Mytilus edulis: one gene and its partners. The protein of the gene in region 1 binds, or shares a complex with, the protein of each later gene. Links are inferred from orthologs where the notes say so. Each region holds a gene or a part of one and is shown on either strand. Other genes may lie near its edges. The genes, in order: cleavage and polyadenylation specificity factor subunit 3-like, cleavage and polyadenylation specificity factor subunit 2-like and cleavage and polyadenylation specificity factor subunit 4-like.

What was found.
Region 2: cleavage and polyadenylation specificity factor subunit 3-like (region 1) and cleavage and polyadenylation specificity factor subunit 2-like share a complex: the UniProt entries of both Drosophila melanogaster proteins name them as parts of the cleavage and polyadenylation specificity factor (CPSF) complex. The link is inferred for Mytilus edulis from reciprocal best matches to the Drosophila melanogaster genes Cpsf73 and Cpsf100.
Region 3: cleavage and polyadenylation specificity factor subunit 3-like (region 1) and cleavage and polyadenylation specificity factor subunit 4-like share a complex: the UniProt entries of both Drosophila melanogaster proteins name them as parts of the cleavage and polyadenylation specificity factor (CPSF) complex. The link is inferred for Mytilus edulis from reciprocal best matches to the Drosophila melanogaster genes Cpsf73 and Clp.

The regions. Positions count from the first base shown.
Region 1 is NC_092350.1:41,933,480-41,944,420, forward strand, and holds the start of cleavage and polyadenylation specificity factor subunit 3-like, read left to right. Parts: upstream 1-5,837; 5' UTR 5,838-5,877; coding exon 5,878-5,948; intron 5,949-6,741; coding exon 6,742-6,805; intron 6,806-7,589; coding exon 7,590-7,687; intron 7,688-8,792; coding exon 8,793-8,921; intron 8,922-9,388; coding exon 9,389-9,473; intron 9,474-10,941. Other genes in the region: peptide chain release factor 1-like, mitochondrial, read right to left, coding at 339-415, 919-1,420. UniProt on the Drosophila melanogaster protein: Component of the cleavage and polyadenylation specificity factor (CPSF) complex that plays a key role in pre-mRNA 3'-end formation, recognizing the AAUAAA signal sequence and interacting with poly(A) polymerase and other factors to bring about cleavage and poly(A) addition.
Region 2 is NC_092346.1:19,601,627-19,611,562, reverse strand, and holds the start of cleavage and polyadenylation specificity factor subunit 2-like, read left to right. Parts: upstream 1-5,554; 5' UTR 5,555-5,670; intron 5,671-9,107; 5' UTR 9,108-9,166; coding exon 9,167-9,315; intron 9,316-9,936. Other genes in the region: uncharacterized protein, read right to left, coding at 3,825-3,884, 5,306-5,404. UniProt on the Drosophila melanogaster protein: Component of the cleavage and polyadenylation specificity factor (CPSF) complex that plays a key role in pre-mRNA 3'-end formation, recognizing the AAUAAA signal sequence and interacting with poly(A) polymerase and other factors to bring about cleavage and poly(A) addition.
Region 3 is NC_092352.1:24,769,091-24,779,409, forward strand, and holds the start of cleavage and polyadenylation specificity factor subunit 4-like, read left to right. Parts: upstream 1-5,461; 5' UTR 5,462-5,539; coding exon 5,540-5,642; intron 5,643-9,471; coding exon 9,472-9,675; intron 9,676-10,319. Other genes in the region: uncharacterized protein, read right to left, coding at 2,788-2,877, 3,255-3,328, 5,177-5,238. UniProt on the Drosophila melanogaster protein: Component of the cleavage and polyadenylation specificity factor (CPSF) complex that plays a key role in pre-mRNA 3'-end formation, recognizing the AAUAAA signal sequence and interacting with poly(A) polymerase and other factors to bring about cleavage and poly(A) addition.

The DNA of each region.
Region 1 (10,941 bases):
GTATATGTATGTCATGTATGTGTATGTCATGTATGTGTGTTCAATGTATATGTATGTCATGTATGTGTATGTCATGTATGTGTATGTCATGTATGTGTATGTCATGTATGTGTATGTCATGTATGTGTATGTCATGTATGTCATGTATGTCATGTATGTCATGTATGTGTATGTCATGTATGTGTATGTCATGTCATGTGTAATGTGCTACTAAACAATAATGATCTTTGAAATTGGAGTTTTTTGGGGGGAGAATATAGGTTTAACTTTTCTAAGATGTGGATTAGACATGTCTGATATGTTTTATAAACATTCATCTTTGATGATTAGCCACTAACCTGTTGTTTCATGTCGTCTATCTGTTGGTTTATTGACTCAAGTTCAGCCTCTGCCATTGTCTTCATTTCTTCATCTTCTGAATAACAAAATTTCTGAAAGTTAATGGTTTAAAAGCATACATTTTATACATAAAAAATACATGGACATCTATGAAGGTCTATCATCTCATGGTAATATATTCACTGAAATTCAATTGTTGAATGGATGTCAATCAATAATATATATTTGACCAAATTTATGAAGATGCTTGTTTCTATTAATATTTTAGGACAGGGTTTAAAAAGAAATACTGTAAAAGCAGAAATTTTCGTGGAGGATTTAATTTCGTTTATTTCGTGGAAATAATATATCCACGAAATTAAAACCCCCACGAAAATTTAACTTCCATATAAAACCACTTTCAGTTTAAGGAAACCACGAAATTAAATCCCCATGAAATCTTACAGAGAGACAAAACCACGAAATTTTAACCCCACGAAAATTAATGTTTCTACAGTATTGTTATTTCTTCTTTTGATAATGAAAAGGTAATACATTTGTAAAACATGACAAATCTGTATAAGACATAAATAAGCTTACCTTCAATAAGAAGTTGTATTTCCTCTAATTCATTATATTTTTCTTTCATTCCACTATAAACGTCCACAATTGGTTCTAAAAATACTCTTCTAGAACCCATTTCCTTTGTTTTCTTTCCTGTTTGGTATAAATCGAAAATATCATTATATTCCTTATTCAAACTGTCCAAATATTTTATCAATAGGCCATCATCTACATTTTGTAAAGAGGCATATTCCCGTGTAAAAATAAAAAGTCCATTTCTCATACAACACTCCTGTAATGGTCTACAATGTCTCCCTAAATTTAAGATAGTTTCTACACCAACAAGTGTCTGAAGAGTTCGACATCTAACAGTTAATTGGGACAATAGTAATCCTTTCTTGGTCTGTAACATACCACATGGCTCTCTGACAGCACTGAGCATGTGTGAGTATTTACACCAAGTCATAACTGGATTCCATTTTTGTTTTATTCTGTACAAATTCTTTCCAAAACAATAGTTTATTCTCTGCATTACCATTGTATACAAAAAGGTTTCCTAAAATCTTCAATCAATTACTACTGTGTACTTTTTCCCTGAAATCTTCAATCAATAACCATGATAACTAATGTAGTTTGCCACTAAGATCTTCCATCAATTACTATTGTACTTTTTACTAAGAATATAAATCTGAAAAGAGAGGTGAAATATATATGAAGTATTATTTAACAATACTTGAGAAGGTATGCTTGTCAACAAAAAAATCTACTCTGTCAACATGTTCAATTTAATTTGAACACTTTGGAAGATAGATTCATGCTGTACAGACATTAACAATGATTGTGGTGTTCTTATCTGTTCAACATGTTCAACACATGCAAACTTGAGAAATATATTGTGATGTGACTTTTCAAATGTGCCTAAGCCAATGCAAATGTACAATTCTTTACAATACATGGAACAGTCAGGGGACTTACTTAAATAAGTGATTATCTAAATCACTGATTTAAGTAACATTATTTCCATAAAGGTTGGAAGTTAGAGTTGTCTTTCTTTAATAATCACCTATTTAAGTAGTACAAATTAATCACTAGAAGAAGTGATTTAATTTTATTGTAGCTTTAAATATAGAATACTAATGATCCAGGGACTAATTATGTTTACTTAACTTTAATTTAATTTAATTAACTTATCAGAACCAACATCTGTGTTGTCTAGGATGACCAGGTCATTTCAGGTGATGACCTTGTACTGAATCTAGGATAATGACATAAAAATCACTTGTTTAAGTATCAGACCTCAATTTCCTTCCCAAAAATCACTTCTTTAAGTATCATTCTTTTAATAATCCTTACTAATTTCAACACCCCTGAACAGTGAGATTTTTATCGCGAACAGTAGAATTTTATTACATAATCTGAAAGATGAAACCTTGAACTTCACAGGAAAAATACTCCCACTGCTGGGAAAAATCTTTTAAGAAAGTATCAGTTCATTATGTAAAGCCATTATTATAGCATTTTTTCAACTAAAATAGAATTTTCAGCTAAATGATAGCATCAAAGGCAGAAACCTTTCTACTTAAAAGAAGCAAAAAGTTTTGTTTTTTTTAATTTTACTAATTAAAAGATATTATTTAAACCTATGTGTTTAAAATTTGGAAAAAAATACAAAATTCCAATTTGTGACAAAAAAACGATTTTGCTACTCAAATAAGTGATTTAAAAATCACCTATTTCAGTAAGTCCCCTGACTGTGGAAGGTACCAGAAAAGAGTACTAGTACTGTGAAGTGCCTAATTACAGATCCTAACAGAGATGACCACTTTCATGTTTTGCAAATATTGACAGTCAAAATTCGCCAAAAAAGAAGGGTGCAGATGGCGCCCAAGAAGAGTCATATGTGTAAGTTTGCTCTGTTAGCAACTGATCTACTACTGCTCAGATAAGTGGGTGCTTTTTTCAATTAAATCACAGTTAGTGGCAAAAAGTAAAGAACTTTGGTCTTGTGGCAAGACAACCAGTTAAAATGATAATCAGCAAAATCATGGCCACAGAGTCCTTTCACCACCAAACACCACTGTATACCGCTGAACACCCCAAAAAAACAACACTGACCACAGTGATACTATACAATAAAACGATAAAATAAATTAAATAGCATATTATTAAATCAATTTTTAGATTTTTATGTGCATCATTGTTATGTCAAAGTCGATAATCAATAAATCAATATAGAGTTAATTGTCCCCAGATTCATCCCTTTATCCAGATTACATTGTGTGTGTATATGTATATATATATTAAACATTTCAAATAAAATTCAAACATATTCGTAATAAGTAATCAGTTCAAGTATCCTTGATTTCTCTTCATCAGTCATGTCAGTTAGATTTTGATATATATATATATATGATAAATGTCTCTTCTTAAAAGAGGGGCAAAAGATACCACAGGCCTCTACAATAACTTTTTTTTTCAACTACCAAAACTTACTTGTCCGAATGAAATTGTTACTTGTCCAATTTTTTTTTTTACTGTAAAATAATCTTTTTACATCTTCAGTTGATTAAAGGAACAAAACGAATTGAAACAATAGAACAGAATTTGATGGGTTTTTTTTAAAATAATTTTCAAAAATATGAGTCAAGTACAACTGAATCAATTCATGTCACAGGACTTAGGTTATAGTTCTCATCAATGCTAGTCTCATCAGACTCTGCACATGAGGCACCATCTGATAGGCCTGTACACTCATTTGACATTTGTATCCTATATTTTTCTAAGTAGAAAAAAGTGTATTCAAATACAATCAATAAAAAGAAGATAAGGTCTGACTGCCAATGAGAAAACTCTCAGCAAGAGACCAAATGACACAGAAATTTACAACTATAGGTCACTATATTGCAAGTATTGTTTTTTTTCTACTTATGATCAAATATGATTTTGTTAATTTTATGGTAAATAAAAAAAATATTTTTGTAAAAAAATGTTCATCAAAGTTGAATAATTAAAACTTTTTTTCTGCAAAATAATTGAACCTGTCCCGACGGACAAGCTTGATACAGCTTTTACTTGTCCGACCTTTTTTCCCTCTGGTATCGGACAAGCGTTATTGTCGAGGCCTGTACCAGAGGCACAATCAAACTCAGAAATCGAAAATAAACTGACACAATGACGGACAACTCCATGGCTAAAAAAGAAAAAGACAAACAGACAAATAATAGTACAAGATAGTATTAATATTCATGATATAGGTACAAATATTTTAAAGATGAAAAAAAACAAGAAAAAAAAACATATTTGAGGTGTCCAGTGACTGTGTTTGATGTAGATATTTGGTCTGTTAATCTTATTATTTGTTGAATTTATAACTTAAATATTATATTTAGGTCACATTTATAACGATAAAAGATAACTAAAAAAAATGGGGGTTTTCGCTGGTGTTCCACTGTGTGTGGTGGTGTTTGGTGGTGAAAAGACCTAGAAAGGGTGCCTACTAATTGCTGTTGTGTGCCCAACTTTTCGTCTTTTGAAAACATCCCATGGAACTCAGAGACTCAGCAGTTGATATGCTGGACTGAGGGATTTCTTGAGTTACGTAGAATTAAATTCTTTGGATGGGTTGTTCTCTCCCCAGATGTGGAGATGTTGTGAAAGCTAATATATGAACAACCAAACAAACATCAGTGTCCACCTGTCCACAGAAAAAGTATATTTCCTGAGAATGATCTTCATTTACTATTTTTGATTTTCACTTATTGTTTTTACATATCACAATGAAAATAATAAATAAATCAATCATGTCAATAGAAAAAGAAAACACAGTTAAAAGGAAATGAAGATCACGAAATATATGCTTCATAAATACAGAATAATTCTGTCTAGCAGTAATGAATCACTATATATAATAGCACTAAACCATCTGACTAGACTATTGAACTGTCAGACCATTGAATCATTTGACTATTTGACCGTCAGATTACCACTATGGCTAGTCAAAATAATTATGACGACTTGAAAGGCTTTTTAACCCTCTTGCTGCCAACCGTTTTTCAAGGTTGCATTTCATATGCAAGAGAATACGACAGCTACGTCTGTGACCTAACATGCCAAACAACGTCATTCGATATATGACGTCACGACATAATGACCGTTACATTTGGGACCAATTGGAGAAAATCATGACACTGTTTAATCTTCGGTTTTTTAATTCCAAGAGATACAGCATTGATTGAGAAACTTGCATAAATTTTACCATGGACATATGTGTCCCTCCGGCAGCAAGAGGGATTTGTGGCGCCTTCCTAACTATAAATTATTTAGACTACACAACAGCCCCTACAATGGATCTGTAGCCGAGTATGCTAAATTTTTTCTGCGGCTTTGATGGAGAAACATTTGTTTGCCACAATTTCTTTTCATTCAGTTTTTTAGTTTTACCAAGGTTACATGTATTTATGTTCGTGCCTCAGCTGTAACCAGGCCAGGATAATTGTTTTTCAAAATCCTCCGAATACCTCTTCCCAAGAAAATCAAATGGTAATCCCCTAAGAAGACTAGAGATATGAAAATTTATGAACAAGATAATAATTTGTATTTGACCCAAATACTTAATCCTAAGATATATAGATCCTTACTATTAATCCCCTAAGAAGACTAGAGATATAAAATGAACAAGATTGTATTTGACCCAAATACTTAATCCTAAGATATGATCAGATATATAGATCCTTACTATAATTTTCGGCATATTTTTTCATCATGGGCGCAGACATCTTGAATTTTACAAATGCAGATTTTTAAAAGAAACGAAACTATTTAAAAATGAGGTATTATTAAACAAAACAAATAAATTAAATAGATATTTCATATAAAAATATATGAATTTGCAATGAAATAAAGTTATTTTTGTGTTATTTTATGAAAATGTATGACATTTTACAGTATTTATGTAAGTTCTGTTTGTCATATTAAGAAGTAACAATCAGAAAAAAAATGGCTTCTAATGAAACAACAGAGGGCCAAGTTCCTATAGAAGAAAGTGATCAGTTGATAATAAAACCATTGTTAGCATATATTTTCACTCATAAATAATAACTATAGATTCTTAGCTTGTTCGTCCTTTCATATAAAGTATTATTAACTGTGCCTACACACACACAAACAAAAAACCAATCAAACATTGTGATTTTTTTTTTTTACAAATATCACTTTCTACCTACCATGAATACATGTATATGGTCAGATCATATGGTTTCGTACGTCAAACGAATTTGTACTATGCATGTTTTTTTAATGGAAATTGTGACGTCACAATGCATTCTTAATAGCATGAAAACCCATGAGACAAGACTATCGTTAATTAGATTTATATAATTTTGCGAAATAGGGCGCCCAAATTAAATAATTACAACATAACTGTGTCATTATATCAAAGGTACCGATGATGGCTTTAACTTGTGTGGAAAGAAAGCACCTACTGACATCGTTGAACTTGAAGAACTGTTGGTTCCAATAGACGTACCTTTATATCACAATCTGGATATCTACACAGCTTGACCAAGGAATCTTTGCTTTTAATTTATGCAAATAATAGGACTGCTTGAGTACCGCATGCCTAAAAAAGAACTCTAAATTTGATATCTGATACATACATGACATACATCTTTATGCAGATTTTTCTCGAAATCGCAAAAATTAGTCTCACATTTTTGTCCATTCTTCTAAAAATGCAATGATAAAACATGGATAATGCCCGCAAAAATTTCTGAATTTATAGTAGTCATGCTGGTTTAGAATTATCTCTATTTAAAATTTATTATATATCATATTTCTCTCATTGATTAATATTTATTTCAGAGGTTCTGGTCAAGAAGTAGGTAGATCATGTCACATACTGGAATTCAAAGGAAAGAAAATTATGGTAAATATTCAGTAACAGGTGTTAACTTTCCAGAACCTAGTTTTTTCTTGGGACATTTGAGTGATCAAATCTTTCACTATCATGACTATTTAGGGAAAAGAAATCACAATTTATACACCTTTCATAATAATCATGATAATGTGACCATAAAAAGTTGTATGTCATTTAAAAATGTAATAATTTCTTAAGCAAGTAAGATCAAATATCAAAATCACATTTGTGTGCTTAAGCAAATATTAGTTGGTTGCAATTGACATGGGTTAATCAATTTAACAAGAGTGTGACGAAATACAGAAAAATCTTCATCATGGTAATACACATAGATGACCTTATCATGCTTATCCGGTTGATCCAAGAAAGTAAACAACACCTTTGATTAATTCACTTTTTTGTAAATGTACATTTTAATTACATTAAAGGTGCATAAAATACCTCAGCTAGCTCAGAGAAAGAGATTAAATCAGTTTCAAGTAGGAGTCATGAAATATGTTCCAAAACAGGCAGATTTTTTGGTTTGCATATTTATCAAATATATATCACCTTGTGAATAAAATCTCAGTATATTTGGAGAATATTACGGTACCTAAAAGAAAACTCTTCAAAGGACTCAATTTCAAACACATCTGTTTTACTATTTAAATTATGACTAACCACAAACTAAATTTTTCAATTTACAGAAGTTAACTCTCCATGCAACCAACATGTACAATTGGCAATTAAAATGAAGTTTATGATTGTAAGAGTACATTTATATTGTTAAAACGCCATTTTTTCTGTATTGTAGTTGGACTGTGGCATTCACCCAGGACTTCATGGAGTTGCTTCCCTTCCATACCTAGATTGTGTAGATGTTGAAGACATAGATCTGTTGCTGATCAGTCAGTGAGTGTTAAATTGAAAGCAAAAAATTTAAATACATTTTAAAAAATTTCATTTATCTTGCAGTGATTATAGTTTGGCAGTGCCGTACAGGAATAAAATTGAGAATGGAAATGGGGAATGTGCCAAAGAGACAACAACCTGACCATAGCGCAGACAACAGCAGAAGGTCACCAACAGGTCTTCAATGCAACGAGAAATTCTCGCACCCGGAGCCATCCTTCAGCTGGCCCCTAAACAAATATATTCTGGTTCAGTGATAATGAACAAATTGTACACAAGAAACTAAAAGTTAAAATAATACAAGACTAACAAAGGCCAGAAGCTCCTGACTTGGGACAGGCACAAAAATGCGGCGGGGTTAAACATGTTTGTGAGATCTCAACCCTCCCCCTATACCTCTAGCCAATGCAGAAAAGTAAACGCATAACAATACGTACATTAAAATTCAGCTCAAGAGAAGTCCAAGTCTGATGTCAGAAGATGTAACCAAAGAAAATAAACAAAATGACAATAATACATACGGTAAATAACATCAGACTGCTAGCAGTTAACTGACATGCCAGCTGCGGACTTCAATTAAAATGATTGAAAAATTATGTCTTCATCATATGAATATCTGGCACAATCCTCCCCGTGAGGTGTTTAGTATCATACCATCACAATAATCGAATGAAACATGGTTGAACTAAAACAGATAAGATAGAGAATAGGGAATGTGTCAAAGAAACAACACCCTGACCAAAGAGCAAAAAACAGCTGAAGGCCACCAATGGGTCTTCAACACAACTAGAAAATACCACACCAAAAACCTGCTTCAGCTGGCCCCTAAACAAAGATGTGTACTAGTTCAGTGATATTGGAGGCCATACTAAACTCCAAAACATATAATTGAACTAAAATCAAGACTTAACAAAGGCCAGGGGCTCCTGACTTGGGACAAGTGCAAAAATGTTGCAGAGCCTGGGTTATACATGTTTTGTGAGATCTCAACTCTATACTTCTGGCAAATGTGGAATAAAACAGATCTGTTAAGTATATTAGTTTCTATAGCGAGATTTAGTTTTTGTTTAGTACTATATAGTTCTATGTTCTTTATATTTTACAGCTTTCATTTAGATCATTGTGGAGCATTGCCATATTTCTTAGAGAAAACAGCATTCAAAGGACGGTGTTTCATGACCCATGCAACAAAAGCTATTTATAGATGGCTTTTGTCAGATTACGTCAAAGTCAGGTACATTAATATAGCAGTCCAACTGATTTTAATGTCACCCTTATCAGTGACACTTACATTAAGAAAGTAAAGTAACAATAAATACTGCATGAAGTTATAACTGTATTAAATGATAAGGTTGCTTTACTTTCCAAAACTTATATTCATCATCAGTTTGAATTAATTTTATACTGATAAGGATTTCAATAGATGGACATCAGCAAGGTTTCTAGAGGAAAATGTTGTTGAAATCATAGTTGATTTCTGTTTGATGGACATAAAATAGTCATATGGTCACTGCCCTCATTTTTTGGTAAAAAATGTCAATAATCTACTTTTTACAGCTAATAAATTGATGAAGTTACACTTATTTCCTGTTTTGTGATATGATACTTCACATTGATATTCTGATATTATCATCAAACAGTGTGTCTTAACATGCTTATAGACTTATACATTGATATTTTCATTTGTTTTGTATTTTGCAGTAATATATCGTCAGAATATCAGCTGTATGCAGACAGTGATATAGAGAAAAGTATGGACAAAATTGAGACTTTAAATTTTCATCAGGTAAGACAAAAATAATGGTTATGTTTTTAACCCAACCATTAAGTCTATGTCATTACTCTAGATTTTAAAATATGAGAGAAATCTAAATTATTAAAACATTATATGAGTACATGACTAACAGAAAGTATAAAATACCATTTTAATTATCTACCACCAGCTTGTAATTCTTTCTGAGAAGAAGAAAAATGATACTGATGCCTACAACCTAAATGCAGGATAATAGACAAGGAATCCTGATTTCCTTGGAGATTGTTTAAAGAACGTCTGAACCCCTTTATTTAAGGGTAACAGATAAGTCTGAGTCAGTGTTCTCCCCAGGCCGTTTTAGCGACGCTATATTTTTTCACCGGGATGCTATGATAATTCCTGCGACACTATAATTATTTTGAAGATGCTATCTTTAATACTTGTCCTCAATTTTGAACTTTCATCTATTATCGATTATGATCATAAAAATTATATCACCTTTAATTGTAATCCCTTTAAGTCGGACACTTAAGGCAATTAAGAGATTAAATAGCTAGGTGTTAATTGCCCTCCGGGTGATAACTGTTTGAATGCGAATGTCCCAAGCTGACACTTGTGGCATGACTAATACCACGTGTCTGCAATCACCAATTTCGACATGGAAAAATGCAATCACAAAACAATTTGAAATCTATGTTTTGTATTACGAAATTTCAAAGATTGAAACGATTTTTATTTTTTTTAAAAGATCGTTTATTTGTGCAACTCTTCAAAATTACTTTTTTTTCTCTACCGGTAATACGAGAGCGAGAATTTTGGTTTGGAGCTAAAATGAGTTTAATACTTCTTTAAAAAGTTATCATAATTGGCTTATGTTTATGTTTAATCCATTTAATGCATTAAAAGCGTCTTATTCATTCACAATCTCTTGTCAAACATTGTTTATTCTCGGACTCATTTTCGTCAATTTTTCTACGGCCGCCATTGCACATTTTTGTGTAAACCACGGATGGGAACCGGACCAGATATGACAAAAATCCGCATTTTCACGATAATGACAACAGATGGACAGTAAGACAGAAAAAATATACCAAGAGAGAAAACTACGCATTAACAGACTATTTGTTAGATAAATTTGTTAAAAATACATATCATTTTGATGTAAAGATAAGAAACAACTGGGACTAATTCATTGAGTGCCATGAAACATTATGAATTTCATAAACATGATAAAAAAAGTTTTTAAATTGATTTTTTTTGCTACTTTTGCTACTTTATCTTTACTTAATATAATATAAAAAATAGTTAATTTTGTGTACTAGATATTGAGTTTTGTATATATACAGGTTGCACTATAATGAACCATTCATTCATTTGACTTATTGTTGGGTATATAACTGAAACCTCATATTTATTTTTGTTTGGCACAAAAGGAAAAAAATAATTCTGTAACTATAAATGAATAAAAGAAAACATAAACTGAAACAACTGTTTTTGTGGT
Region 2 (9,936 bases), on another chromosome or scaffold:
TTAAATTAAGGGGTTTAAAATGCATAGATATCACAAATACATGTACAGGGGGCCCAGAAGACCTTACATAACAGGTTTACGTTTAAAGGAGCCAGGATTTACTGTTCGTTTGCACTACTGAGAGTATATAACTACTTGAAATAATGGTTTTTTTTGTCTCTTGTTATTAGTCCCTTTATTACATGTTGGTAACTTCCTATTATTACACAATAATCCACTTCAGGTATTAAGTACTACTAAAGTATGTGTTTCTGTATTTTAGTGCATGTCTGATTGATACTATTTAAGTGCTTGGACATTTATCACAGTGTTTCACCAAAGTTAAAATCAATTTTGTCCCCTGTTAAAGGACCCCTGAGAGGTGTTATAATTTTTACTGTATGTCTGATTTAATTTCATTTTCAATTGATTTAAAACTACATGTTAAATTCCTATTACCAGTTGTTGACTTTTTTTTTAACTATCTTTAAAAATTGTTTGAGGAATAGTTCTTTACAAGTAAGACAAATGTTTAAGATTTTAAATACAACATATACATCATATCTTTTCTTTATGGCATTGAAAAAAAATCAATTACATGGTCCAATATAAACTGAATACATAGCAATAAATCACAACCATACAACCTAATACATAAACTTGCACAAATTATAGTTGTAAACATGTAAACAATACCAAACATACAGTTATCCTTGGAAAATATATACTATTTAAACTGCTTTTATTATGGGTTTAAACATTTGTGGCTAGTAGGAGAGTTTATGATTTTTTGGATTTTTCAATTTGTGTAGTTTAGATGCTTCTTACATATATATCAAAAGAATATTTTAATTTCCTTGAGTATTATGTATACAGACATGGACATTTTCCAATATGAGATATTTCCCTTATCTTGATATCACATGGAAATTGAAATGCTTAAAAATATATCCATCGCACATATAGTTTATACAAATTAATAACAACACTGATGTAATTAAAAGGCACAATTTTTGTTTGATAAAATTTGCATTTATGATTAATTGTGAAAACTGACCAAAAAAATACCAGCACTTTCATAGTCAATTGATTATTTTCTTGCTTCATTTATTATAAACACAAATCTCCTTTAAACTGCAACATTTAAGCCTGAGGCATGCTTCATGTGGTTTACTTTTTTGATAGGCAGTTTAATTAAACTAATCTATGCATAGTTACATATTATCAACAGGTAAATTTGTCATTAACCCTTTCCTCCATAATGACGCCTTTTGACGCCACCCCCTTTACTCCATAATGACGCCTTTGGACCCCTGTATAGTGCCTCAGTTGAAATGTATTACCTAGGATAAAACTTCATCAGACTTAAAAAAAAATGTAACTAATATAAAAAGGATATTCATGAGAACATCTGACTGGAATTTTATTGATGAAAAATTTGTTTTCACAATGCATTAATACTTTAAACCTGATGATTATCACGATTATTTTTCATTGAAAAAATCTTGTGCAAATCAAGTATGTAAAAAAAAAAAGCCAAGGAGGATAGCTCCTCCTAGCATCAAAATAATACAATGGTATAATAAAAATATAACATGTAATTTAAGGTTTTCACATGGTATACAGTTACTTATAAATGTGTAAAAATGTGTGTATACTATATGTATATATTGGGTCTTTAAAGACTCTCATAAATCTTTTTTAAGATTGGCACATACATTGTAAATTTTTTAATGTTTTAAGTCTATTTATGTGAATCTCATTTTATGTTTGTATGTGGTGAGACTATAATAAAATATTGAATTTGAATCTACTTCTTGTCTGTTATAATCCATTTAATAATTGGACAATTGAGTTTTCATTCCTTTGCACTTGTTGAAAGAATACATAAGAAATGCATGTCCACAGTGAATCAGTTATATTGTTACATATGGTACATGTATAAGAAAAACATGAAAGCAAGAAACCTAAAAACACAAGTCCACTAAACAAATACATTGTTTAAAACCACAAAACATTGATGTTTTGGGTTATTTGTGTGTTGTAAATACAACTTCAGAGTTTAGTATAATGTCCATTATCACTTAACTAGTATACAATGTACATATTTGTTTAGGGGCCAGCTAAAGAACGCCTCCAAGTGCAGCAATTTTTCGCTACATTGAAGATCCATTGGTTGGGTTGTTGTCGCTTTGACACATTCCCCATTTCCATTCTCAATTTTATTCATTAATTTATAGAAGATGTTTGGGTTAAAAAGGAGCATACATCATATTACATGTACATTCTGTAGTACAATATTAGACAATTGTATTGTGATAGAAAAAGTCACTCATCATCCCCTTAATATAAATTAGATTATAAATACTTTAAGAAATCTCTAAAATATGTAAACACTTTTCAATACAAACATAAAGAGAGAACAACTAAGAAATACATTTTTGGAGAATGCAAAAGATAGCTTCATTGCATTTAACATGATTAAACAACAGCAAAGAAGAAAACAACAATATATTTCCATTAGACACCATATATATCCTGCACTCACTATCACATTTCTGTATTCAGGGAACTGATGAAATCTGGCTCAAAACCCTCATTTGCCAGATTATTTTGTTAAAATATGCACATCATACATGTAAGGCCATGTGTGATTCCAGTTACTCTACTTAACATACCAGAAATATTGTACTTGATCTGAATATTGTGGTATGAATAAGCATTGTTTAGAAGTTTTATAACATTTAATAAGTGGGCAAACTTTGATAAGCGACCCCTATGTTTTTGTTTTAATAATGAGGGGCCTGATGGGTTATTTTCGTTCTTCTTGATCGGTGCATTTTCGCTATTGTGATCCGTTATTTTTTATATTTTCGTGATCCTTGATCATGGAAATTTATTTTCTGCAAATTGTGATAGACAAAAAAATCAACTAGTGAATTGTGATGAGACTGCCCCATCAAACCCCTCAATAATAGCCCACCCTTAAATTTTTTGGTCATTTTTCATTAAGCACTGTTAAAGTCAAAATGTTGAATGTTTTTGCTGAATGTAAAAAAATATCCCTACCCCCTAACCTTACTTTTTTTTTTATATGTATTTGGCCTAATGAGCAAAGGTATTAATTAATTTTCATGAACATAAATGTGTGACCACAACTTCAAGGTAAATTTCTATTTTTTCTGTTTGGTTCTGATGTTGTGCTTTAAAACTATCTACTGCCCAAGGTTAAACATCACCACATTCTGTCCTAAGCCTTAAAAAGTTTACATAATAAAGAACAAGTATGTATAGTTGTTAACTTCTGTGTCATTTGGCCTCTTGTGGAGATTTTGTCTCATTTGCAATTATACCACATCTTCTTTTTATATATATATATAGGCGATTTGGTGTCACAATATCACAGTAGCATGGGTTCGAATCCCGGCGAGGGAAGAATCAAAAATTTGCGAAAGCAAATTTACAGATCTAACATTGTTGGGTTGATGTTTAGACGAGTTGTATATACATTATGTACACAGCCATGTATCACCATCATTGATGGCGATTCGATGGATACATCTGTTGTAGAGTTGTCACTGACTCAGACGTACTTATATATATATATATAGTTGACTTCAGTGTCATTCGGTCTCTTGTGCAGAGTTGTCTCATTGGCAATCGTATCACATCTTCTTATTTTTATGTTTCAAGAGGATATGACCACAACTTTATATTAGCTTAGTTAACATGATACAGGATTAAAAATGGGACACAGAACAGAAAAGATTAGTATATCCATCCATTGAAGTGGGGCAAAAAGCAAAACAAAAAATGAATTTACATAATATGAAATGTTGACATACCTTAGTACTTCTCACTGATCTTAAAAAGGTTACTGCATCTATCTTGATCTCATTGGACTGCTATTAAAGAAAAAAATATATGCATTTATTTTTCATTATCTCTTCTATTCATATACATTTAAAAAATGTTTCATATCCCACTAAATTGGCTCACTAAGAGTATACATGTATTACAATTTCCTGTATTATCACATGTAACTGATTGATGTTTTTTATTTTTATAAACCTATGGTCAATTTTATCTGTTCTTCATTGGTTCAGCTGAAACATTTTGTCAAATGACCACTGTTTCCTGCAGCTGGATAATTGTGATAATCCATTGGATAAATGATACATTAATAGACATGAAGTAGAGAGAGAGATAGAGATTTTTTTATTTGATTCAATTGTTATTGCTTAAAAAAATAACAACATCTTTAAGGTTTAAGGTCATGTTTTATATTGAAATTTTTGCAAAACATTAAGAAATAATTTCTAATTACACATGCATCAATTTAAGGATTTATTATCTAAATCAAATTTACTGTTTAAACTTTAATATGACCAAGGGCCAATTTATTAAGAAACTGAATCGACTGTTACATACATGTACATGTACATGTATAAAGTAAATTCGTGAAAAAATACCTTAATGTAGTTTGAAGAGAAGGGTTCAGTAACTTTCAATATATATACACGAGTTGATCAAATTGCAATTGTATGCTTAAATTAAATGAATGATTATACCATTTTGGTAAATAACTGACTTAATTTTAAGTAATATATTGTTTACGTCCGATTACAATGAATTTCATAATAACCCACTTGGAAGATTGAAACATGCTGGAATTAAATAATCAAACAAAAGTGATTTAAAATGTATTATTTAACATGCTGGAATTGAACAAAACTAATTTAAAAAGTATTATTCATCAAATTTGAATATGAAAAAGGTTCATATTGCCCATACACACAATTTTAGATTGCTTTCATTGCAATGATTATGAGAATGTAATCAAAATGTAATCAGATTCTTGGGTGATTAATGATTACAATTACCACAAGCCTGGTATAAAGTTATATGAGATTAGGGAGGTTCCTCATTTCTGTTTTTCTTTCATAGTTTATAGTTTTTTTTTATTCTTCAGTCAGTTATTTTCATTTTTTTTCAATTTATGATTTTAGACACCATAACTCTTTATTATGTTTATTATTTATGACCATTTCTCTCTATAGATTTATTTAGCTGAGGGCTCATTTTCTATTAACCCCTTACCAGAACCTCTTACATCATGTACATGTAAATGATGTATGACACAAAAACAATCAATGGAAAAATAAACAAGATAAACAGATAAAGCTGCCTCAATACTTTCAAAACATCTCTAACTGATCAGTCTTAATCATACCTATAGTATAGAACTGGCATGACAATGAATTTGATTTAAAACTATCCAAACGTCACAATTGTCATAACTTATTTATTTTTTACAGAAACTCACTTGTTGCTGATGTTGTTTATCAGATGAAAACTTCAGAAAGAGAATCAAAACTACACAAGTTAGTATTGCAAAAGCTGAGACTAAGAATAGATACATCATTCATCACTTTCATATTTGAAGACGCCAAATTAAAACCAGATTATGAAAAGAAACTTTCATATCCATCTAAAAATTACTTCATACAAGTGATCATAAGTTCTGCATCAGTAACAAAGTTCAACCGGAAATGACTTAACTGAAGTTAGCTCCCTTTTTAATGTAAAGTTTACATCCGGTGTAAATCCAAACCAACGTGAGCTCTTGGCCGCCTAAACAAAGTGTTTTCTATTCACTTTGCAATTGTTTCAAAGCTAGAATTAGATGAGGTGAAATCAATTATTGTAATAAACAGTACTAGTTTCATCCACACAATACTAGATATACACAATGGTCCCATAAAAGCTAATCAACTAACCGGCACAAACCAGACAACAAGTCAACATACACTGACATAGGGGCCGAGTTCACTTGAAACTCTACAATCAACTTCAGAGTTAATAGATTATCACGTGAACGCACTAGAGTTGATATTCGGAACAACTCTAAGTCACTCTAGGGTAATGCCCTGACCAAGCATAAAAAATAAAATATTCTCATTGGTTTGACGTCATTCAAGAGTTTCTCGAGTTTAACCCTGGCTCGGTGAGGGTTGGAACTAGAGTACGAGGGGTTAACTCGAGTGATTCAAGTAAAATCGTATTGTTAACTCGAGAGTTTCAAGTGAACTCCGCCAGGTAGTCCATATAATTATGACGTCTTGAAAGGCTAATATTTTTTCTTTCTTTGACGCCTTACATCAACATTGTTATTCAGACTAACAGCACCTCAGATTCTGGCGTAGTACTAGTCGGCAAATGTCAATTCGGCTCCTATTTAAAGTCATTTTCAAATATTTTGGCATCTTGCTTGTAAAAATTGGGTATAATTTAAAAAAAAAAGTATTAATTATAAACAATAAGCATGAATGCATGATAAAACACTTTTATCCTACATACATATACGGTAAGCACAAGATCTAATGAGAAAACAGTAAGCACATCTGTTATCATGCAAAACATAAATATTGGTACCAAGCACAGCAAATTTAAGAAATTATTGATGCATTGCAAGCTATTCTTTATTGTAGTTTTAAAATGGGTAGGCATTATATTCGTGATTATATTTCCCCGAGCGATAGTAAGGGCTAAAATAACAGGAACATATGCCACAGCAAATTTAAGAAATAATTGATGCATTGCAAGCTATTCTTTATTGTAGTTTTATTGTAGTTGTAGCATCGGAACTAAACACATTTATTTCTTAAAAAAAAAACAGTTGTTGGCATGACACGGGTTATGTTCTTCTCATATATTTTATGATAGTATGATACTAAACCCCTAACGGGAGGGATTGTACCTGATATTCATATGATGAAGACATAATCTTTCAATCAGTTTAATTGAGGTCTGGAGCTGGCATGTCAGTTAACTGCTAGTAGTCTGTTGTTATTTATGTATTATTGTCATTTTATTTATTTTCTTTTGTTACATCTTTTGACATCAGACTCGGACTTCTCTTGAACTGAATTTTAATGTGCGTATTGTTATTCTTTTACTTTTCTACATTGGCTAGAGGTATAGGGGGAGGGTTGAGATCTCATAAACATGTTTAACCCCGCCGCAATTTTGCGCCTGTCCCAAGTCAGGAGCCTCTGGCCTTTGTTAGTCTTGTATGATTTTAAATTTTAGTTTCTTGTGTATAATTCGGAGTTTAGTATGACGTCCATTATCACTGTACTATTATGCATATTTTAGGGGCCAGCTGAAGGACACCTACGGGTGCGGGAATTCTCGCTACATTGAAGACCCATTGGTTACCTTCGGCTGTTGTTTGCTCTATGGTCGGGTGGTTGTCGCTTTGACATATTCACCATTTCCTTTCTCAATTTTATTAAAATGGGTAGGCATTATATATTCGTGATTATATTTCCCCAAGCCATATATAGTAATGGCTAAAATAACAGGAAAATATGCCACAGCAAATTTAAGAAATAATTGATGCATTGCAAGCTATTCTTTATTGTAGTTTTAAAATGGGTAGGCATTATATTCATGATTATATTTCCCCGAGCAATAGTAAGGGCTAAAATAACGAACATAATGCCAGTCACCTGAAGATTTCATAATTATAACGAAAAAATGGGGGAAATAAAATAACACGAATATAATACCTACCCATGTTAAAACTACAATAAAGTATTGCTTGCATCAATTATTTCGATTCTGATTAGGACAATGAAGGTATTATCTATATCCGATGTATATAAGTGTACAGTGTTTGTGTATATATCTCTTCCATGAAGTTGAACCTCCCTTTTTTGTTTGTAAAAAAGCAAACGACTGGCAATGTGAATTTTCAGAGGGAGGAGTTTGAACAGCCAGCATGAATGGCTGTCGTATCTTGCTCAAATATGTCAATTTCCATTTGCAAATTACAGTCATAATAAATGAATTAGTAACAACATGTGCATCATTTAAGAGTTCAGAGTTGTTTTAAGTTAATGAATTATATTAAATGCATGCCAATTTGATAAAAATCATTATTCTGCAGTAGTCAATATACGCATGACCATGTGCAAACAAATTTTATTAGAGCATGGGTTTATTCACAAAGCAAAAGAAGCACGTCATATTAGAAGAGCAATTAATGTGTCTGATCTGTGTGTCTTTTTCAAACGATAAATATGTTTATATTAATGTACAGTTGTCACAAAATGGAAGTTCCATAGGTACTAAAAGTTATAGTTTAAGGCACTTTGGGACAGTAGAATTATTTTAGTATTATATGAACACAAATATACTCTAGAAATAACTTGTTTAAATTTGCTTTTTACTATCCAAAGCACTTGGTGATATTCTCTTATTCTCTTTTTGATATATCAGCCTTCTTTTACTTTAGACAAAATGTTAGACAACCCATAAAGAGCTATATGTACTAAACTATTCTTAACCCCTAACCTTACCCTAACCCATACCGTAAACCCAAAACTAGCCCTAACCCTAAAAGCTAACCCTAACCTTAAATTAAATATCCTCTAACCATACCATAACCAGGAATTAACTGGTACCTTTACTCTAGGTATAGGGACCCTTAAAGTAAGAGAAGGCTGATATATCAGTGATGCAAAAATAATTGAATTGAAATTAAATTTAAAAAAAAAGACTAAAACACGTTTGTGATATTTTGAAAAGAAATGGTGTGACTGTGTCAGTTGTGTCATTTGGTTATGACATTTACATATGTACAGACTAAGTACTGTATTCTATTGGCTCTCAGTTTGTATTTAAAATCCAAACTTGTTGAGATATATATTTAAGTTAAAAAATGTCGTGTTAAAAATAAAATGTTATTGGAAGTTTTTAGGACTACTACCAATTAACAAATGATTAATGAAAAAAAACCTGAGTTATGACTTATGTCCAAATATTTTCTGCAATGTAAGAACATCAACCTTAGTAATTGGTTAAAGGAAATGTAAGAGTTATGTTTTCATCATTAAGACAGCAACCCATAAACAATATATAAAAGGTTGTCTTAGCTTTATCATTGTTATGATGACAATGGGACCTGTCAAAGGATATTTTCTTCCAGTGAACAAATAAATTGAAACAAACAAAATGTGCTGATTTTATTTCAAGTTCAACTTGCCACAGGACGCTAAGCAACCAACAATCAATTTATCATTGTAACAGATTTTCTAATAAAGATGTACAATCTCTTTCAGATGTAAAGATGCAAGATTAATTTAGACCATATAAACTTTCAACAAGAACAGGAGTCAACATGACATCTATTATTAGACTTCAGCCTCTGTCTGGAGCTCATGACGAATCTCCTCCATGTTACATTCTGCAGGTGGATGAATTCCATTTCCTTCTTGATTGTGGCTGGGATGAAGACTTTAATATGGATTTTATAAAACAGTTGAAAAGGTTAGAATCATCAAAATACAGAAATTTATAGATGCATGGGCAATAAAAAGGATTATGTTTGTTTCCCCTAACCCTACATATACCTACCAAGAAAATAACTGCCTACTCCAAACCTTTTATTGTCTTGATGTGATAAACTGTTTTATTTATTAGATTGACATGAAGACCTAAAAACATCTGACACTTCAATTTTTCTTTGCAAAAAAAAGAAAGAAGGAAAATGCATACATACATACATTTGCCTTCCTACTTTGGGTAGGGTTTGGGCAAACCAAAATATTATAAGTGTGGCCTTGCTGCCTTCAGTTTTGTTTGTTTTATGATGATACTAGCAATAAAAAAACGGTTTATAAGTTTCATGTGTTCAAAGCTCTTTTCGGGATTTACCATCATCAGGAATGGTCAAAGCTGAATATTTAAAAGCCAAGGATGTATAAAAAAATGTTTATATGACCAAAAAGGGCCTGAACAATAGCCAGATTCATCAAAGGTCAACTTAACATATGCATGCAATTATTATTGTTAAGAAACTTGTAAAAATAATAGGCAACAGAAAAATTGCATTGGTTGCAATGAGATACAGTGATTTCTCAGTAAAATCAAAACTGATATTTTCTCATG
Region 3 (10,319 bases), on another chromosome or scaffold:
CATGTGACTGACGGAAACTTTTTAACATGAAGCATCTGTATACAAAGTATGAAGCATCCAGGTCTTCCACCTTCTAAAATATAAAGCTTTTAAGAAGTGAGCTAACGCCACCGCCGCCGTTTCACTATCCCTATGTCGAGCTTTCTGCAACAAAAGTTGCAGGCTCGACAAAAATCTCTTTTTTCATGTTTATCATAAAAAGTTTTGATATTTTCTATTGCAACCAAAAACTGTAGATCTCAAATAATGAAATATACAGAAAGCTCTGTTAATTTCTTTAAGTACCCATGCCATATCAACTTCCAAGGGCCTGTGAATTAGTATTTTTCTATTGGTTCAGGTGACAGGTCCTTCATATTTGTTTTCACTAAATTAACACACAAGTTTTCTAGTTTGAATTGTTCTACATGTTTCATATTGGGGCCTTTTATAGCTTTCTACACGTATATGGTACAATTATTTTTCATTATTGACGACCGTATGGTGGCCTAGAGTTATTAATACATTTTCCTCCTTTGAACTCTTTTGGATAGCATTGGTTCTTTGCAAAAAATACTGCATTCTTTTTTATAAATAGGACAGTTACAGTAACTTAAATCAATACAACTGTAATGAACGTGAATTTATATTAAAGGCTTTTATCAAAAGAAGGAAACATGTCCATGGGACACAAATGATGCCCCCACTAGCATTAACGTTATAAAGGGTCACAACTCAAGAACTGTAAATGCGATGCTACCAAAATTTGTACTTGATCTGAGTTATGGGGTAATAAGCATTGTGTATACATTCTAATTACACAGTATTGTGCAATAGATTTGTAAGATCTAGACTTTTGTTTCATGTCAGAAACCTATATACTATGTCAAAAATTTGAACACAATCCAAATTCAGAGCTGTATCAAGCTTGAATGTTGTGTCCATACTTGCCCCAACTGTTCAGGGTTTTGACCTCTGCGGTCGTATAAAGCTGTGCCCTGTGGAGCATCTGATTCCAATTGTAACGAGGCACAACCCTAGAGCATTAAAAATGACTTCACAAAAATTCAAACTTGATCTTGGTTTTATGGTTAAAAGTATTGTGTATAAGTTTCATAACATTTGGTTGAGCGAACTAAGGTTAGATAACTGAAATGAAAATATTCAGCAATTTTTACATATGTAAAGGGGCATAACTCTAAAACCGTATAACTATCGCAACCAAAATTCAAACTTGATCAGTGTTTGTGGTAATGAGCATTGTGTATAAGTTTCATAACATTTGGTTAAGACAAACTAAAGTTAGAGAACAGAAACTAAAATTTCCAGCAACTTTTCTATTTGTAAAGTAGCATAAAACACTAGAATGGTAAAAGTGACGCAACTAAAATTCAAACTTGACTAGTAAATTGTGGTTATAAGCATTGCGTATAAGTTTCATACAATTTGGTTCAGACAAACTAAAGTAAAAGAACAGAAAGTTCAAACGAATTTTGGGATGTACGGAGGTATATACAAGTAAGGTTTTGTTTTAAGCCATTCATTTGATATATTAGAGTAATCATTGCCTCTGTGTTTGGATGACAAAGCAATTGAATTCTATTTATATAGGGCATGTTATGCCTTAAAACTTTTCCAGATGCACAGGTTTGTCTGTAATCTATCTAAATTTTGAGGTGAAAATGCAGCCATTTTAGCGAAAAGGTACACATCATTAACCTTAATAATTTCTACAGCACTTGTCTTGATACCCTGAGCTATAATATTCTAAAAAGTTACTGTAGATGCTGACCCGGTTGCTTTTAATACAGATGCTATATGATAAGAATTTGTGATAATACACCAGAGGTGGTATGATGTAAATTATTGGAAGGAGACTGAAGAAGAATTGATGTTGGGTCAATGTTTTTTCTGCTGTTAGTTTGATCCACTTGAGCATGCTGAACGAGTGAAGGTACTTATATCCACATTGGAATGTGAAACAATTAGTATTTAAATAAAGAAATTAAAAGTTTTCAAATGATTTTTGGCATCAAAACCTTCTGATCGATGTTTAGACAAAAACAATGCCCTTTTTTTTATCAAAGCCTTTACTCGTCCTTGGCCTGAGACATTAGACATTTAAATTATCGAGTATTTTATATCTGTGTTTTGTTTAAACAAACGATTATCACTTGTCAATTATCTGACAGCTTGGTCAAAATGTCAACTTGTTCTTGCATCAGTCATTCCCAATTCTTTCGATACACTCGGGCTTTTACCACGTTTACTTACAAATAGTAAAAGTAGAGCGGGAAAATGTCCATTCATGAAATATTCATGAATGAAAACGCAATCTCACGTAGATTTCTTTTGATTTTCTCTTCAGCACATGGCAGATCCGCGAAGTAGTGTTTGTGATACTCATTTTCAAAATGAAGTTAAATTCATCTGAATCGTCGGTGAACATTCATTTCTTTTTTATTCAAGCTGTAATCTTTGCAGTCAAGAGAGTAGTTACTCAGAATTTCAAAAGAATCTTCAAAGATTAAGAATTCAAACACTAGTACTACATTATCTCGGAGCAGAATGAATTGAGATATTCTGTAACCAGAAGTTTGAGGCCGACGCCTAAGCAAAGTCGCAATAGCAAGCTATAGCAAACTTTCCAAAAATGGATCATTTGTAGAAAACCATTCATATATACAATTCCTGAAACATTTGTAAATGATGACCAAGCATTTTAAGAGCTGAAAATTTTCCATAACATTAAGCTTGCAACATGACAACAATTATTAAAACAAAGGGTTATAAAATATAGACACTTACCTTGAGATTTATAAAGGTCAAAAGGACAATCTATATACTGCTTCTTTATCAAATATTCAGGATCATCTCTTATACCAGAATTGTAAATAACTAGAAAAAATAATTATTTTACATTCTATACATAAAAATTAGATAAAAAGAGATGGTACATGTGGGCATACCTCAATAAACCCAACTGACCAAACAAACAAATTATTATCGTACAGTATAACTGTAATACCAACATTTCTTTCTTACAGGTTTCTCCACAATAAGTCCTTCACTCTTCATTTAAATGTTCAGTAAACAGTTCTTGTGCACTTAATCTGAATATTTCCAATATCTAACCACATGCTGTACAATGTTTCAATCGTTGTCAATCATTTCAATCACATGCACATATACAGTTCTATTATAAAATACTTTAAAATCAGTTTGCTTGAAAACTTCATGTGTATCATATATATATATATGACTAATATACTTACAATGTTCATAACCTTCAAATCTGACACAAACTCCAGTCCCTGCTGTAGGGTTAGCAATGTTCAAGTATACCACTCTGAAATGTATTAAAAAAGTAATTCACTTAATCTATTCATATTTACATGTACAGATAAGGGGTCACTAACATACAAATTATTACCTAATTATATAAATTAAATTTAAAGTGTTGTTTTTCATGGTGGTGTAATGTATATGACATGTCTGGCAGTAAAAAATTAAAAATATTCAATGTCGTAGTCCATATTATTAACCCTTGCATTTAGGGAATGTGTATGTACCACCCCAATGCATTGTTCTTGAGAGCTACAATAGTGTTCCCTTCTTTCAGAGATTATACTAGGATGATTTTTTTTTCTCGTGTGTCTTTCTTGCAAATATATGGGGTTCCAAACTATGACAAACATGAAAAAGAGTGGACTTTGAAATGAAACCAGAGTAATTGCAAGAAATATGATACATGATATACATGATATATGAAATCATGGAAACTCTAACTAATTTAGAGAAAACTCAGACATGTGAGTGAGTGAGTTTTGAAGAAAACTTGTAACAGTACATGTACTAAGAAAGACAAATCTGACCAAGTGATGCATATTTTTGACATTAAATAAAAATGGCTGAGCAGCACATGAACAGGTAAGATTGATTAAATTCATTCTTACGTCTTTCATCAAATACACTTTGAATAATTTAAGAATAAGACTATTTATTATTCCAATCTAGGGCCCTTGATGGGCAGCATGACATGAACACATAAAACAATACATCATGATTTGTAATAGAAAACATTTTTTTATATATATATATATTGAAATCTTTATCTTCAGACATTGTCAGACAGATGTTTTTATCTCCATTCTATAAAAATCCCATAAATTTAATTCCTGGCAGGCCAAGAGATGGTTTCACAAAAAACTTACGACTAAGATTTATTGTAAGTCATTTGTAAGTATATACTGAAATTGAATTGTTTAGACTTATCATGCTTATGATCATGATGATCAATCTTAATTGTAAGTTTTTTTGCGAAACCAAATCCAGAACCATTAAATCATAAAATATGTTTGTTATTTGCCACGTTGTAGTGGTATTGTTGTTCCAAATATAGAAACCGGAAAACATGACAAAATTTATTCATCCGCAATGGAAACCTATGAACATAATGAAATGAATGATCCAAAAACAGAATATTCATCATGTTGAATGAATATGATGAAAGGCAGTATTTCAAAATTTGGCAGAAGAAATATATATATATATGACGTACAAAAACATATGACATGACAATGAAGTTACCAACCTAGACTGAACATCAGTTATTTACATATCCGATGGATAAATCTGTTGTACATGTTGTAGAGTTGTCACTGGTTCAGACGTACTTATAAATATAATTATTTTGTGACTTTATCTTGCATTAATTTGTAGGATCCTTTACAAAAGATGTGATTTTTTTCGGGTTTCGTATGAATTATATAGTAAACCCAGCAAATTGTAACAAACCCTGTGTATCATGTACTATATTACAAAGCTAAATTAAAACTGACGAGGAAAGGTAACACCCAGCCACCGAAAGCTTTATTTTAAAGCCATGGTGGTCTAGTGGTCTAGTGGTCTAGCGCATTGGATACAGTGCAGGCGATTTGGTGTCACGATATCTGAGTAGCACGAGTTTAATTCCTGGCGAGGGAAGAACAAAAAATTTGGGAAAGCAAATTTACAGACCTAAAATTGTTGGGCGGACATTTAGATGAGTTGTATATGTATATATATAGAGAGATAGAGAAGGGAAAACTCAGTGTCAGTCACTCTGTGAACATGGTGAAGTTTTATGACAAGCAAATTGTCAAATGATAATTGTGATCTGTCCTCTTCTTCTTAAAAAAGAGACATGTTTAATTACCCAAATATTTCTTCTCCAGGTTCATATGCACTTTTATGAGTTCTTAAGATGATTTGATTCATTTCATCCCATTTTTAACAATGAGAGAAAAGTTGACATCAAGTTCATGAAGTAATAAAAAAAGTGGAAAATCCCTTTCTGTTACTTTCTTTAATCTACTGTGTAAGCAACAAAAACTAGTTTCTTGCAAGGAACCAGTAACCGCAAAATTTAATCTCTCCGATTTGTTTTTGTGATTTAAAATGATACTCCCATCAAGCTCATGTAAAAAGCGCTTGAAAGATTTCAAAGATCAAAAAATAAAATCAACGTCAAAAAGACGCAATTTTTATTTTGAGTTGGTCTTACTTGAAAACACTAAAAATGCAAGACGTTGTAGCTCCCGTAACATACATACAGTTTGACATAACTGCATCTTTAGAAATGCAGCTTGGAGCTCTTCCCCTCCCATTTCCAGGGATGGACAGTAAGTTATTAGTTATGTTTTCAGTGGGTTATGGCTTATCCCAAGTTATGGGCCATAAATTTATTTAACTTATGCTACAGCATGTACTAGGTGTACAAGCCTAGTTCAAATAATTAGTCTTCCAATATTTCATAATAATTTAGAAGAGTCGAACCGCTCCTTTCCTATAGTCTACTGTACATGTCACATGATTCTGTACGTGCTCTCATTTGTCATTAGAAACATATGAGAAAATAATAATATTCTCAGATCTGCAGTGACATCACAACATGTAACTGACCAATCAATGATTAGCATTTTTGTTATGTAAACAATGTTGAGAGGTGATGCGGATAAGATTCCTCTAGATTTTCCATAGACTTATTGCAAATTAATTTAATTGATATATATCGTAACCAGTTGAATATAGTAATTTTACTCTTTTAATACTGTTAAAGACACTATATAATATCTCTATTTTGATTTTTAACATACTATAACCTCTCGTTAAAAAATTATCGGCAATATAAATAATCAGTTATCCCCTTCAAATAGATGAAAAATCTAGAGGATTCCGGATGGCATCACCTCCTGACAAATGTAAATGCCAGGATGTCCGGATCTGAGAATTCTGGGGTCTCACTAATTAGCGACAACAAGCGTCAAGAAGCGACAACAAGCGTCAACAAGCGACAAGAAGCGACAACAAGCGACAAGAAGACTATTTAGTGAAAAGAAAACATTTTTTTTATTAGATATAAAGAAATTTGTATTTAATGGTTTTTTTTTTAAATATACGAGCAGATATGTCTAATTAAAATGTTTTATTATATAGATAGACAAAGAAAGGAAACATTTGTGAGGAAGAAAGAGATTGTGAAGTTTATATTAGTATATTGGTAGATGAAGAAATTAAACATTTGTGAAGAAGAAAGAGATTGAGCTTCTTTTTTATATTTTTAAATATGAAGAATATGTATAAGATAATGTATGTATCTGTTTTCATCAAAGTCAAAGTATGAATAAAGGAATGGAGATATATATGGAGCGGGCATAATGGAATATAATATTTTGATTCATTTGCTTAATACTATGCTCTAAGTGTACTCTTGTTATGTCAATTCGATGCTTTTTTTGTAGAACTCTCAGCCACACTTTGCCATCTTTATTATTTAAGCGTGTTTCCAGACCCCACGACGAGGACGTGGTTCTACCTTGGGGTCCATATGATTTTTTTTTTTTTACAATAACATCCAATTAACACCTTCAACTTTGTACACGCATCAGACTATACAATTACATGCACCAGAATATACAATCTGACATTGTAAATAGTGAACACCTGTTGAAAACTCAAGATTGTCATTAATTTCCTTTCATCTTCAATCAATATGCATAAACATGATAAATATCTTTTAATGGGGCAATAAGCAAATAAAAAGATGAAATTTTCACATTTCAATTTTCTTTTCCTCTTGTTTGATTTCAGTTCTTTGTATTTCACAATTTGTGTCAATATTTTCAGGACAATGATGCACAAATAATTCATTTTGCGAGCTTAATATATATTGCACGAAAAGAGTTTTAAAAAACAAATTATAAGATAAATAATATGTTCTAAAACACAATAATTAAACGTAATACTGGCTGTTATACATAAAAGATGATAAAATATTATGTAAATAATGTTTCATTTTTTTCTATCAATTTTAACTTTCTTGTCGCTAAAATTATTTTCTTTTGCATATTCTTTTAATATTTATTGCAATGATTAATTTTAATTAAAAAAATATGTTTTCTTGTCGCTAAATAGTTTCTTGTCGCTTGTTGTCGCTAAAATAATTCTTGTTGTCGCTTGTTGATGCTTGTTGTCGCTAAAATTCTTGTTGTCGCTAATTAGTGAGACCGATATTCTGAAAATTATGTACATGTATAAGCGTTACAGACGGTACCTTGAATGACAGAATAACACTGTTAATATCCGAATAACACTTGTAATGACCGAATAACACTTGAAAATGTAATATAAGCACATATTGGTGACTTTTAAACATTGAATATTAATAATAGTTTATTATCATGATTATTGATGTATTTTATAACTTATAAATGATTTACAGAAAGCAGATTAGTTTATTAAAAACTTTTTTAATTTAGTGAGTACATCCAATATGGTGACCACGGAAATCACAATGGCCGCCATGTTCGATGTAAACACTAAATTCAAAATGATCTTTAGGAACTTCTCTGCTGTCAGTAAATCATTTTTAAAGTTACAAAATACATCGATAATATATTATTATTTATTAATCAATGTTTAAAAGTCACCAAATTGTGCTAATATTAAAATTTCAAGTGTTATTCGGTCATCGTGTCATTACAAGCGTTATTGTGATAATAACATTGTTATTCGGTCATTCGTGTTACCCGCATTACAGATACCAATAGTGGCAATACTACATGTAGTTTAAATCCAACAATGAAGAGAGAGCACCATTGATTCATTAATGGTGCGCACTTACAGTTCTGAAGCACTCTATGCTTGCATTACTTGCCATTAGAAAAATAGATAGAAGTACAAAACAGAGAATGTGCCTATAGAGGGTTAGTCCAAGATTACTCTAACGTCCAATGGCTGTTTTGCCAGATAAGCTGGGGCCTTGGGATGTCAGAGCTCGTCCCATATAAAAAATGGATATTTACCATCCAAAATAAGTGTGCTGCTTCGTCGCTTCTGGTACCGACAAACAGCCTTGGAATTACATAAATCGGGTATCAATATGTTCATTTTTCATTTATCTTTGAAATGAAAGTTAAACTGCCAGAATCAATGGGTCACTGTGAAAACTGTCTGAATATGAGAAAATAAAGGGTGGCAGGTAGGTGAATCTTACATAAATGAAGAGATAAATTATCTCCCTTTGCTGCAAAAATGCCAAATTTTGGCATTAAAATTGAAATATCTTTTTTAACTCATCGGTGACCTATATTTTTTATTATTGGTTTCAAATAAGCTGTACATAAACTAAATAATTGTAAAATTTAAGCGATTTCTGTAATTTAGTCCTTTTTTTATTTTGATATTATAACTATTTCTCCTATTAGTTCGTCAACAGAAAAAAGGACATAAACAAAGATGTATGCTTCTTTCGGAGGCAGATTGTGAGCTTAAATGAACGGTGACCCCATTTGTTAATTTCATTATGATAAAAAGTACATTTGTAAAAAAATATAGCGAAATCCTATATTAGAAAAAAAAATTGGATTTATACCCGCAAGCCCCCTTAAAACTGCAAGGACTCTATCATCACTGCAGCACAAATAAAAGAAACATGACAATTTCTTTTTGTTTATGGTTATCTGATCTGACACAAAACCAAATAATAGATTTCACTTAAGGTGGTATGGGTGTCTTTCGCCAAAAACAGAGAACCTTAGGTCCAGATTTTCTATCAAGTTAGCAAAATTAGATGCAGGAATGCAGATATTAAATTTGAATTTTCATTTTAAAGAAACAATTTGTACGAATATAACTTATAAATAGTAATTTTTTTCATGTGTAGATTATATTTGGTCGTTTAAAAAAAATAAAAAAATTGAGGGTATTTTAAGGGGAGGTAACTCTAAAACAGTGAATTTCAGATTTGTGCACAAACATGACAAAACAAAATGTTATTTTTCTCTAATAACGTTATAGAGTTATATCCTTCACTGTTTTATGATATGACTTTACTTCATACACATATGGAAATAAAATTATATTCTGTCATGTTTGTTGTGTAAATTCCAATGACATTTCATCCTGATTCTACTATAACCATGATAACTGAATTATCTTTATTTTATTTAGAATCTGGAGCAGCTATCTGTACATACTATTTAAGTAATGTTTGTAGTAAAGGTGCTGCTTGTCCATTCCGCCATGTTAAAGGAGACAGAACAGTTGTATGTAAACATTGGTTACGAGGTCTATGTAAGAAAGGAGACGATTGTGAATTTCTCCATGAGTATGATATGACAAAGATGCCGGAATGTTACTTTTTCTCAAAATTTGGTATGGAAATTATTGTTATTTATATTTCTATTAGTATCAGCATGATCAGTTAGACAATAGAATTCTTTAAATGATTAGAGATATGGGATAATGTACAATGATGTAAGGATATATTGAATAAAGTATAAAAAAAACATGAAATATACTGTAAGAGCTTTCCAATTTATGTTGTTTCAATGGAATAACAGAAGAACTGTTAGTTGATTTTAATTTTATGTCATTCCATGCAATAGTTTAAGAACCATTCCTCCAACCTTTTCTTATTTAACGTTTCTTAATTATTTCAAACATTCAAAACAGTTGTCCATCATTGTGTCCATTTTAGTATCGATGATTTCCACTTTTGCTAATCAGGAGTGATGGCCATTATCATTGCTTATTAAAAATGATACATGTACTAATAATTTAATTTTGGATGTAACGCCTCTTCTGATTGGCTGACGTTATTTTGTTATCATCCCATAGACATAATTTAGCCATGTGACTGTGACGTCATCAACGTTTTTTCATGGTTTTCTACGGTTTAAAATGGAATTTAGAATTAAATTATAAGAAATGACTGTAATATTTTTTCTGTCTATTCGAAATGACATAAAAAATGTGGTGCACACTATTAAATAACCTGCTACGCGCGTTATTCAGTG